Rattus norvegicus: one gene and its partners. The protein of the gene in region 3 purifies or fractionates together with the protein of the main gene of each other region. This does not show direct contact. Links are inferred from orthologs where the notes say so. Each region holds a gene or a part of one and is shown on either strand. Other genes may lie near its edges. The genes, in order: Cdc37, Mob2 and Stk38l.

Region 1 (3,288 bases), on a different chromosome or scaffold from region 3:
TGGTACCTGCCAGTGCTTGTGAGCTGAGCCAGGAGACTGGCCATTAGCAGATGGGCCCACAAGCTTGTAGAATGGGCACTGAATACAGGAGACAAAGGCCAAGCCTTGAGGTACCCATGGTGGAGTTCAGGAAAAGCTTCAGGGAGCCTCCAAGAGCTGCTGCAGGGGCCTCGCCCCCTAAGCACCTGGCTGTCAACCATGTAGTGAATACACCCGTCCTCTTCCACAGACTGCTGACCAGCAGTACATGGAGGGCTTCAAGTATGAACTGGAGGCCTTTAAGGAGCGTGTGCGGGGCCGCGCCAAGCTGCGAATAGAGAAGGCCATGAAGGAGTACGAGGAGGAGGAGCGCAAGAAGAGGCTAGGCCCTGGTGGCCTGGACCCTGTGGAGGTCTACGAATCTCTGCCTGAGGTGTGGCTCTCCAGGGCCCAGTAGGGAGGAGGGTGATGTGTGGGCATTGCTGCTCCTCTGCCCCGCCCCCCCTTAATTGCCCCCCATCCCAAGCCCAGGCCCTCACCCTGGCCTCTCTGTACCCAGGAGCTGCAGAAGTGCTTTGATGTGAAGGATGTACAGATGCTGCAAGACGCCATCAGCAAGATGGATCCTACTGTGAGTCCCCAGTCTCTGTAGCGGACAGCAGAGTAGGGAGTTCATCCCTGTCATCTCCAGAGACTAAGACAGGGTTGTAAGTTCAAGGCCAGGCTTAGTTGAGATGAGCCAGAGCAACTCAACGAAACTGTCTGAGAATGACAAGGACAGGGTGTCACTCAGTGGCAGCTATGTGTGTGGCTGTGGTTCTAAAAACGAAAGATAGTGTCCCTCCTGAGCCTCTCTAAGGAAAGGGAGGTCCAGCGCTCCAAAAGCAGCAGCATGAGGAGTGAAACTTGAGCTTCTCTTCTTTTCTTTTTGTCTTTCTTTTATTCTTCCTTTTTGGTGACTGGGAATATAACCCAACGCTTCAAGCTTAGCTGCTAAGCCACGTCTGTACCCCTCACTGGGGGATTCTAGGCAGGGCCTCTCATCACTGCCATGCATCCAACTCAGGTTTGAATTTTAACAAACTTGATTTGTTGCCAATTCTGTCACCAGCTTCTCCTTTAGCCACAGTAGTAGAGACTCTACGACCTCCCGTGGGAATGCACATCTGGAAGGGAGTCTGCAAAGCCCAGTGGGCAGCTCACCACTTAACCTTTATGGAGTGACCGTAATTGAAATGCTGTCCCTAAACTTTTTTTTGCATCACTTATGATTGATTTTCTGCTATAAACTCAGAGTCACTGTGACCAGACACTATATGGCAGACACTGTGTGGCCCTTAAGAAAAGTTTGCTGGGTAGGACAGGCTGCAGTGCAGAGCTGCACCCTGGTCTGCATGCAGGATGCTGTGTTCAGTCACCAGCAGAGACTAAACCCAGTAGAGGTGTACACACCTACAGGGATCGGAATGAGTTCAAGGTCATTGTCTACTAACATGGTGAGGCCTGGCATACAGTGAGGCCAGTCACCAAGCCCCAGATGAAGGCCTGAAGAGTCATTAAGAGCATGGGCTGCTCTTCCAACCCAGGTTCAATTCTAGGATCTGACACACACACACACACACACACACACACACACACACACACACACACACACACACATGCATACACTGGCAGCCAGAACACCAGTTTGCTTAAAATTTTTTTAATTTATTGCCCCCTTCCCTTCTTTTTTCTGAGATAGGATCTCACTTTGTAAACTAGGCTCACAGATAGACCTGCCTCTGTTCCCTGATACCCTCAGGATATCCTGATTGTTACTTTGGTGCTGGAATATAATCTCTGGGTCTCATGATTTGAGGGGATGTACTCAACTGCTGAACCAGAACTGTCACCACCCCTTGTGTGTGTGTGTGTGTGTGTGTGTGTGTGTGTGTGTGTGTGTGTGTTTTGAGACAGAGACTCATGTAGCCCAAGCTGACGATGACCTTGAACTCCTGACCCTCCTGCCTCTACTTCCTAAGTGGTGGGATCACAAGTGTGTACCACCATATCTGCTTCTCTGGTGCTGAAATGGAAGAGTCTCAGAACCTTAGGCGAGCTTCACTGCTGAATCACACACCAGTTCTTTAGACAGCTGAGGGTAGAAGGGGGCTGAGCAGCCTTGAAGGAGGCGTAGGGACTGTGGGGCACCATGGCGCTGGCACAGCCTCACCTGCTGTCCTTTCTCCACAGGATGCCAAGTATCACATGCAGCGTTGCATCGATTCTGGCCTCTGGGTCCCCAACTCCAAGTCTGGTGAGGCCAAGGAGGGGGAGGAGGCGGGCCCCGGGGACCCATTGCTGGAAGCCGTCCCCAAAGCGGGCAACGAGAAAGACATCAGTGCGTGACCCTTCTCCAGAAAAGGAAACCCAGCCACCATGTCCCTAGCTCCCGACTTCTTCACTTCTGCTGCTCCTCACGTCCTGGCCCATGGCCTGCCCCATGTCCCCTCTCCTCCGGCCTGTCCCCAGCACTCATCAGATTCTCTGCTTCGGGTTGAGGGGCTCTGCTGTCTGCAGCCCCCCCACCCCCATCAGCGTTATGCCAAAGTCCTGGGGGTCTGGGGAGGGGCAGCAGCTGCCAGGTTGGTCCACCGGGTTGGGGATACACATGTCCCCATCTGGGCAGGGTCTGTCCCTATGGGTCTATGGTCACTGTTTCTCTTCTGTCTAGCTTTCTGTCCTGCAACTGGCAACAATGTCCAATAAACAGTTCCAGGTGCTGGAAGCCACTGGCTCAGTGCTGTTTGAGGCAGAGGGTGAACCTAGGTGGGGAGAACCAGAGTGCTAACAGCCATGCCCTTGCCCTGTCCTTCACTGTTCAGAAGTCCTAGGCCTTCTGTGTCTCTCCAACTCCTTGTCTATCTCAGCCTCTCCCAGTTCTTTTCCTCCCTCAGCCCCAGCACTCCATGGAGACAAGAGGACAGATAGGAGTTTGAGGGTAGCCTAGGCTACATGAGAAATATGCAGCCTTTCACACTGGACTTTGCCACTGCTAGGGGAACATACTATTCTAAAATTTAATTTGTATGTGTGTGTGCGTGGATGCCCTTGTGTGTTTTCTGTGTACCTTTGGCTGTCTGAGAACACAATATATAGCCCAGGCTGGCCTCAAACTCAAAGATCTGCCTGCCTCTATGACCTGTCCTGAGTGTTGGGATCAAAAGCACTCCTGGCTTAAGATTTAATTTTTGTGTATGAGTATTCTATATGTGCATCTAGTACATGCAGAGGCTAGAGTCTTGTAGAATTGTAGTTACAGATGACTCT
Region 2 (4,416 bases), on a different chromosome or scaffold from region 3:
TAGGGCAACACCTGATGGCAGATGGTGCCAGTCAAAATCAGACTGGCTCGCCAAAGATGGATGCTCCTTGGAAGCAGTGGACAAGGCTACATTGCAAGGCAACCAGCTGATGGTTGACTAAAACAAAGTGGTTATGGGGTGGGGGAGTCATCCAGTATGACTATGGGCATCCATGGGAATAGAAATGGAGGAGAGCACAGACCTGATTTTCTCCTCCCAATATATCTTGATTTGGTGACTTTTCCCTCCCCAGGTCTTTCATTATTCAGTTTCACCTCAAGTTATTTTTTTTTGTTTTTTGTTTTTGTTTTTGTAATAAAACTGTCACCTCACCTCTCCGGGTGCATGGCAGTTCATGCTATAAAGAAGGAATGGACTGGACATTTCCCATTATCCTGGAATGGTTCTTTTGGGAAGGGTGAACCCCATTTCAAGTATATGACAACTTCAAGTATATTACAGCAGGCAGATGTCCTGAAGATGTTATCTGTCTGGTGCCTGCTATTCATGACACCCCACTGAAGACACAAATCAGTTAGGTTGCTGTGATTCCTCTGCTCAAATGTGTGCTCCTGGAAGCATATCTCCAGTGAAGAGAATGGAGAGTCAGCCTTTCAAAAGTATTCAATGAGTTCCTAGTATTGGTCAGGCTCTGGAAAGAGCAGACAATAGGATAGATACCCTGGATCATGAAGAGAGAGAAGTACTCACTGGAGAGAAGTACCCTAGATAACAGAGGGTCACCCAGGAGCTAGAGAGTACAGCTTATAGAGAAAGGGAACAGAAGGGGGCTCAACCATGTCCACAGCAGTGGGCAGCTGGGATGCAAATGAACAGCCAGCAAAGGGAGGAGGACTCAGAAGAGGCAGTGTGTTAAGAAGAATCCTGGTAGAGGCACTAGGTGTGGGCAAAAGATGACAACAGGTTTAAGGTGGACAACATGAGGGATGTAAACAAGAGGAGAGACAATGCAGAGAAAGAGTGCATCCTGCTGGTCAGAGACACTCCGATGTTCCAGCCTGGGGGTTCTGGGTATTCCCAGATCCGGGATATAGAGTTGGGGCCACTCTTGGTTCCAGGCACTTCTGAGTCTGGGTAATCCCAGGTCTGGGATACTGGGGTCAGGGATACTCAGGTACTAGGAACTTCAGACTCCCACGGAGCTGGCATTCCGCAGATTCAGGCACTCTGGGGGTAAGGTTTACTCCTGGGGTTAGGGCACTCTGAAGTCCTGGCACTCGAGGTGTGAAACACTGGGGTGGGACACTCCAGGATCCAGGGCACTGTGTTATTACAGGCACTTTGCGAGTCCGAGGCACTCCGAAGTTCCCGGCGTCTGGGTTTCTGGGACGCTCTGAAGTTATTCTCACTCTGGGAATCCAGAAACTCCGGACAGTCTTCAGGTACAGGATGCTCCTGGGTCCCGGAGCCCCGAGGTTTGCAATAGGGCTAGGTCCTGGTACTCCAGGACAGGTACCGGGACATCGCCGCAGGGGCCGCTGGGACTACGCGTCCCAGCAAGCCGTGCGCGCGTCACTTCCGGCAGCGGGCGGGAGCCATCGAGTGTTTACTTCCGGCCGCCGGCGGGGCTGAGGCCGAGCGAGGCGCGGGCTCCGCGCAGCCATGGACTGGCTCATGGGGTGAGTGGCGGCGGCCGGCGTAGCGCGGCGCTGCGCGGGCGGCGGCTAACGTAGGGAGCGTAGGGCGGCGGGCGGCGGGTTCCAGGAGGGGCCGGGGCTCGGGAAGACAGCCAGCCGCTGCGGAGTACCGGGAGGCCGGGCAGGCGGGCGGGCGGGCGGCCGGCCGGCCGGCGGGAGCGAGGCCCGGTCCCCGAGGCGCTGTCCCGAGAGGCCGCAGTCCCTCGCCGCGGATTGACGGGCTGCGAGTCGGGCACCCGGTCTTCGCGGGGCCTGCGAAAGTTCTTCCGCCCAAGTGACTTTCTTCCAATTTACTTTTGAGGAGAGTGAGAGGCGGGCGCTCCTAGCCGCGCGCTCCCCCGCGTCTCGGTTCTCTACTCTGTGGCGGTGCCCGCGGCCCTGCTGTTGGGTCAGTATAATCCTACTTGGCCACAGAGATGCCGGCCTTCGGATTCGGGAGTGCGAGAGCTGCACGGGACTCTGGAGATGGAAGCCGGGGAAGGCGGAGGAAAGTGTAGTGGTGGTACTGTCAGGACGTCTGAGGCGATGGAGATGGGTTTTGACCTCCCAGTGCTGCAACCTAAGGAGAGGGCAGACTAAAGGAGCAGCCACAGGGATAAACAGGAGACTAAGGGTGGCTGGGAGCCACATAGTGCCACTTAGGGTGCTAAGTGTGAGTGACACAGGAGGACCAGGCGGAGGACCCATCTGATTTCTTCAAGAAGCAGCACTGTCACTGGCTCCTCTCTGCTTCCTAGCTGTGTGGTCCTCTCTAGACTTGCTTTAAAGGATTGCCTGTCAGATGGAAGCTGTGAAATCCGCAGAACAGGTTTACTGAAGGGTTAACTGAGGTAAGGGCCACACATGTTTTGCATATGGTAAGCTTGGCAGATGATATGTCCTGATCATTTACAAGGTCTCTGAAGTCCAGAGGTTTTAAGTGTAGGACACATATCTGTATCCAGCCTATTCCAAATCATTCTTCCTTTGTGCATTTGTGGAGAGGGCCAGCACTGACTATACTTGGCCTACCTGCAAATATGGTTTCAGTGCAAGAGAACTGGATCTGTCAGCTTGGTGACTGAAGAAACTGCCCACTGCTGTATGTGTAATTTTTACAGGCCCATGCCCATCAGTGGCAGGTGCTTCTTGCCTGGAGACTGACCAGAAGCTAGTCTTTAAACTGACTGAGGACTGTCTTTTGTGGACTGAATCATCATTGCAAATATGCAGATATTAACCATCGTCAGCCTTTGGAGGCCCTGGTTCTTGTGACCCTTGTCAAAGCCCTGGTAACAAGGAGCTCTGTGGGAAAGGGCAGCAGAACCCTTATCTCTCACTCTAAGATGGGGGTCATTCCAGGCCCTAGAGTATAGCTGAGAGATACTTCTGCTTCTGGGACCTTTGGAAAGGAGGAAATAATCTGATTCACCGTAAAAAATAGTTGTAGTTACAAAGGGCAGTAGAGATTTTTAAAGAGGGATCTGGCTGCAGGGTAATTAATTGTCTTTGTGTTTGTGTTCTTAAGTGTCACATGCTACATGTTGAATATTGGTAGTCATGAATTCTTTAAACAGTTCCTTGCCTAAAATTCTCTTTTGTTCAGTGATCAGGTGTAGTTCCTCCTTGGTATCTTTGGAAGATAAAGACAAGCTGCCCCAATATTCCTCATTCATCTTTCATAGTATTCTTATAAAAGTAGGACGAATGGAAGTTGCAGAGTGAGCCTTCAGAGACACCTCCCCTCCTCCCCACCAGATATACTCCACTTTGTCTTCTGATCCCCTGTGAAAGCTGGCAAGGTGGTCAGTAGGAAGTGAAGCCATTTTTTTACTTCAGAGTACCCACTGTTTGCTCAGGACTGAAACTTTATCTGCAGTTAACCATTTAAGTACTTTTTTGCCTGGAAGAATTGGATAAACATATCATCTTTTTCTTAATTCAGACCATTCAATATCAAGGAGGAGTTTGGAATGTAGTGCTCATGCTTCAAGGTTTGTTTGTTTGTTTGTTTGCTTGCTTATGTTACACTGAAGGTTCTGTTAACCTTCTTCATGTTGGGTGAACCCAGTGTGGCATGAGCCAGAAGAGAGGCCTACAAAGGTGTAAATGAAAAGCTGCACCTTACCCTTAGCTGGGTGAGGACCACGCTGGGGCTTTGAGCATCTCCTGCCTTATCTTCTGTGTTCCAGCTGCTCAGGAGGAAGGGAGGCCCTGCAGGGAAGCATGCTTGGGATAACCATAGCAGAGTTTGGCACGTTGGGACTTGGTGGTAAACCTGCTGGGACTTTTCTGGAGAATGTTGTAGGCGTGGCTCTTAGCCACCTCTTGTCCTGTAGGAGAAGCTTTGAGCTGGCTGTTAAACAGTGTATATAGTCAGACCGCCTTCATTCTTTATTAGAAAGTGTTACAACTTTTGCATAGTAGGTCTTTGTTCTGTTCTGGACAACCAAGAGCAGGGTAACATCCAAGGGGAAGCTGCTCAGAATTTGGAAGAGGGAACCTCAACATGCTGTGGGATACTTTAAGCAACACTTGAGTCTTTTCTGGGGCAAGCATTTAACCAGGAGGTCTGAGTGTAGTTTGAATTTTATCTAGCAGAAAGCACAATCCAGAAGCCCCTTGGAGTCAAAAGAATACATTTTCTCCTCTTCCCATTGATGATAGTGAATTGTCCTTTCTGCCTGGCCACCTTTACTAAACCTCTGCTCTCTCCAGTAGTCTCTCTCCAGCCTGCCACTGTGGCTCCCTTTCAGGAGCCACAGTACCTGACTCTTGT
Region 3 (2,747 bases):
TGCAGGGCTCAGATAAAATGGAGTGGGTTTTATCCCTGTGGACCTCCTGAGTAACTGTATGGTGAGCTGGCGCATGAGTGCTGTTTCCTTTCTTGTGGCACATACTGTGGTCTGCTTGAATTGTCCCAGCGCTGATAAATTGTTGATCTCTGGTGCCCAGGCTTTCCACCTTTCTGCTCCGAGACACCTCAAGAAACGTACAGGAAAGTTATGAGCTGGAAGGAGACGCTGGCATTTCCTCCAGAGGTGCCCGTCTCTGAGAAAGCCAAGGACTTGATTCTCAGGTCAGTGGCTCTTAAACCTTGACAAGTGCATGAATGGTCAGGGTCTCTGAGGCAGGGAAAGTCTTGGGAGGAAAAATACCACTGATTCGATTAGTCAGGGAGGTCAGTATAAAGAAAGGTTTTTACAAAATTTGATCTTTAAAAAAGATTTTATTTATTTTTACTTGTGTGTGTGTGGGTACCACTTGCCCATGGAGGCTAGAAGACCCCTTGGAGCTGGAGTTACAGACAGTTGTGAGCCACCCTAAGTGTTCTCGACTGCTGATTTCCCCAGACTCGCAAAAGGCAAACACTTTAAAGACTTGTAGGAAAACGGTGTTCAGAAGAGAGAGAGGAGATCTTGTTGGATATCCTGGTAATAGGATCAGCAAAGTGTCACTTACTCATGTTCAACTACAAGGACTCAGTACGTCAGATAGGAAAGGAGAGTAAATGTGTCAGAAGCTCTTGCCATAGAGTGCACAGGAACTCAGGCAGAAGACTGCCTCACCAGTGCTGGAGGAGCGTGAATTGAGACGACCCTTGAGAGCAGACAGCTGGCAGCATGCTGTATAAAATCGTTAAGCTGTACATGACCTTTGACCTAGCAGTTTCATTTCAAGGAATTTAATTGGACATTTAACTGTGTAGGGGTAAAGAGTTAGGTATGTTTCTTATTTATTTTAGTTGTGAAAAATTGAAACTTATAGAAGTCTTCAGTGGTAGCAGTGGATGGATCAATCTGATATCTCTGTATAAAGTTACTTCACGGGAAAATACTGAGCAGCATTACAAAATTTTCTAGTATAATCAATGAAGAAAAAGTCTTAAAGTAACGGTTATTGTGTTAATACAATATTTTACATTTTATTATTGTATTAATTTTGTTATTACATTAATATTATAAGATGAAAAGTAGCTACAGAATGTTTACTGGTTATCTCTAAAGGATAGGTTTATGGGTAACTTGTATTTTCTCTGTATTTCCCATAGTAGCTTCAATATCTAAATTGAAACGCTTTATAAAAACATTCGAAGTAATAACTACTAGAGTGTTTGAGATGAAAAATGTGCCTGATAATTGGTTTTCCTTTCTAGATTTTGTACTGATTCTGAAAACAGAATTGGGAATGGTGGTGTGGAAGAGATCAAAGGTCATCCGTTCTTTGAGGGTGTGGACTGGGGGCACATAAGGTATGTTCTGCAGCCTGAGCTGACAAACACCAGCTTCTGGATTTGGTGGTTACTGCACTTCTGTTCCTTCTAGACTCATGATTCTCAACCTGTTGGTTGCAACCCCTCTGTGAATTAAATGACCCTTTCACAGTGGTCACCTAAGACCATCGTAAAACGCAGATATTTCCATTATGATTCCTAACAGTAGCAAAATTACAGTTACAAAGTAGCAACAAAAATAATTTTATGGATGGGGTCACCACCACATGAGAAACTGTACTAAAGGTCACAGCACTGGGAAGGTTGAGAACCCCTGAGACTGAGCACGAGAGGCAGTGCCGCTGCTTCTGAGAAGTCACTGCCTCTGCAGCTGCTCAGTGTCTTCCCTGGAGGTCACACTGCGTGTCTAGTACTTCCCACTGTGTGCCAGTACATTCATGAGACTGTCCTGTAAACGCTCATCTTCTCCTGGCACTGCTGTCAGTGTCTTGCCCACGGGGACAAGCTAGAGTTTCTAGACACAGCACAGTGACTATGGAAGCAGTCGCACAGCAGAGCAGAGCCTAAACTCACTGTGGCAGGGCAGGAAGTCCAGACCTGCCGCTCACTCGCTGTCCCCTCACCTGGGGCTGTGCACAAGCATGGCCGGCACAGGCTTCTCATGACTTGCACCTCAGCACCCAATAGATCCTTTAGATGTTTGCTGAAAAACTGAAATGCCTGCCTCAGGGCTGGAGAGGGCCTCAGAGGTTAAGAGCACTGGCTGCTCTTCCAGAGGTCCTGAGTTCAATTCCCAGCAACCACATGGTGGCTCACAACCATCTGTGATGGGATCTGGTGTCCCCTTCTGGTGTGTAGGATACATGTAGGCAGAACACTCTCTACAGAGTAAATAAATGTTTTTTTTTGTTTGTTTAAAGAAATATTAAAATAAAATTTAAAAAGGCTGATAAGGTGCCGTTATCTGAAAAGACAGATAATCTGAGTTCAGTTCCTGGGTCCCTCAAGGTAGAAGAAGAGAATCAACTCCTGAATGTGGTCCTCTGACCTCTACACTTGTGATATGGTGTGTGTTGTGTGTTGTGGGGTGTGTGTGTGTCTATACACTTAATAAATAAGTAAATAAATATAATTTAAAAGGTTTTTTGTTTTGTTTTTGAGGAGTTGTTGTTGGCTTTTGGTTTCATTTTTATTGTTGTTTGGGTTTCACTGTGTAGCCCAGGCTATCCTGGAACTCATTCTGCAGACCAGGCTAGCCTCAAACTCAAAGATCTGCCTGCTTCTGCTCCTGAGTGCTAGAATTAAAGG

What was found.
Region 1: the proteins of Stk38l (region 3) and Cdc37 purify together in Homo sapiens (affinity purification with mass spectrometry; 3 studies listed by BioGRID and IntAct, with this or other methods). This does not show direct contact. The link is inferred for Rattus norvegicus from reciprocal best matches to the Homo sapiens genes STK38L and CDC37.
Region 2: the proteins of Stk38l (region 3) and Mob2 purify together in Homo sapiens (affinity purification with mass spectrometry; 9 studies listed by BioGRID and IntAct, counting the BioPlex papers as one, with this or other methods). This does not show direct contact. The link is inferred for Rattus norvegicus from reciprocal best matches to the Homo sapiens genes STK38L and MOB2.

What each region holds. Positions count from the first base shown.
Region 1 is NC_086026.1:27,953,750-27,957,037, reverse strand, and holds the end of Cdc37 (hsp90 co-chaperone Cdc37), read left to right. Parts: intron 1-229; coding exon 230-412; intron 413-538; coding exon 539-610; intron 611-2,211; coding exon 2,212-2,367; 3' UTR 2,368-2,744; downstream 2,745-3,288. UniProt on the Homo sapiens protein: Co-chaperone that binds to numerous kinases and promotes their interaction with the Hsp90 complex, resulting in stabilization and promotion of their activity. Inhibits HSP90AA1 ATPase activity.
Region 2 is NC_086019.1:206,576,615-206,581,030, reverse strand, and holds the start of Mob2 (MOB kinase activator 2), read left to right. Parts: upstream 1-1,581; 5' UTR 1,582-1,623; coding exon 1,624-1,640; intron 1,641-2,081; exon of another isoform or gene 2,082-2,488; intron 2,489-4,416. UniProt on the Homo sapiens protein: Stimulates the autophosphorylation and kinase activity of STK38 and STK38L.
Region 3 is NC_086022.1:181,416,904-181,419,650, forward strand, and holds part of Stk38l (serine/threonine-protein kinase 38-like), read left to right. Parts: intron 1-160; coding exon 161-284; intron 285-1,361; coding exon 1,362-1,457; intron 1,458-2,747. UniProt on the Homo sapiens protein: Involved in the regulation of structural processes in differentiating and mature neuronal cells.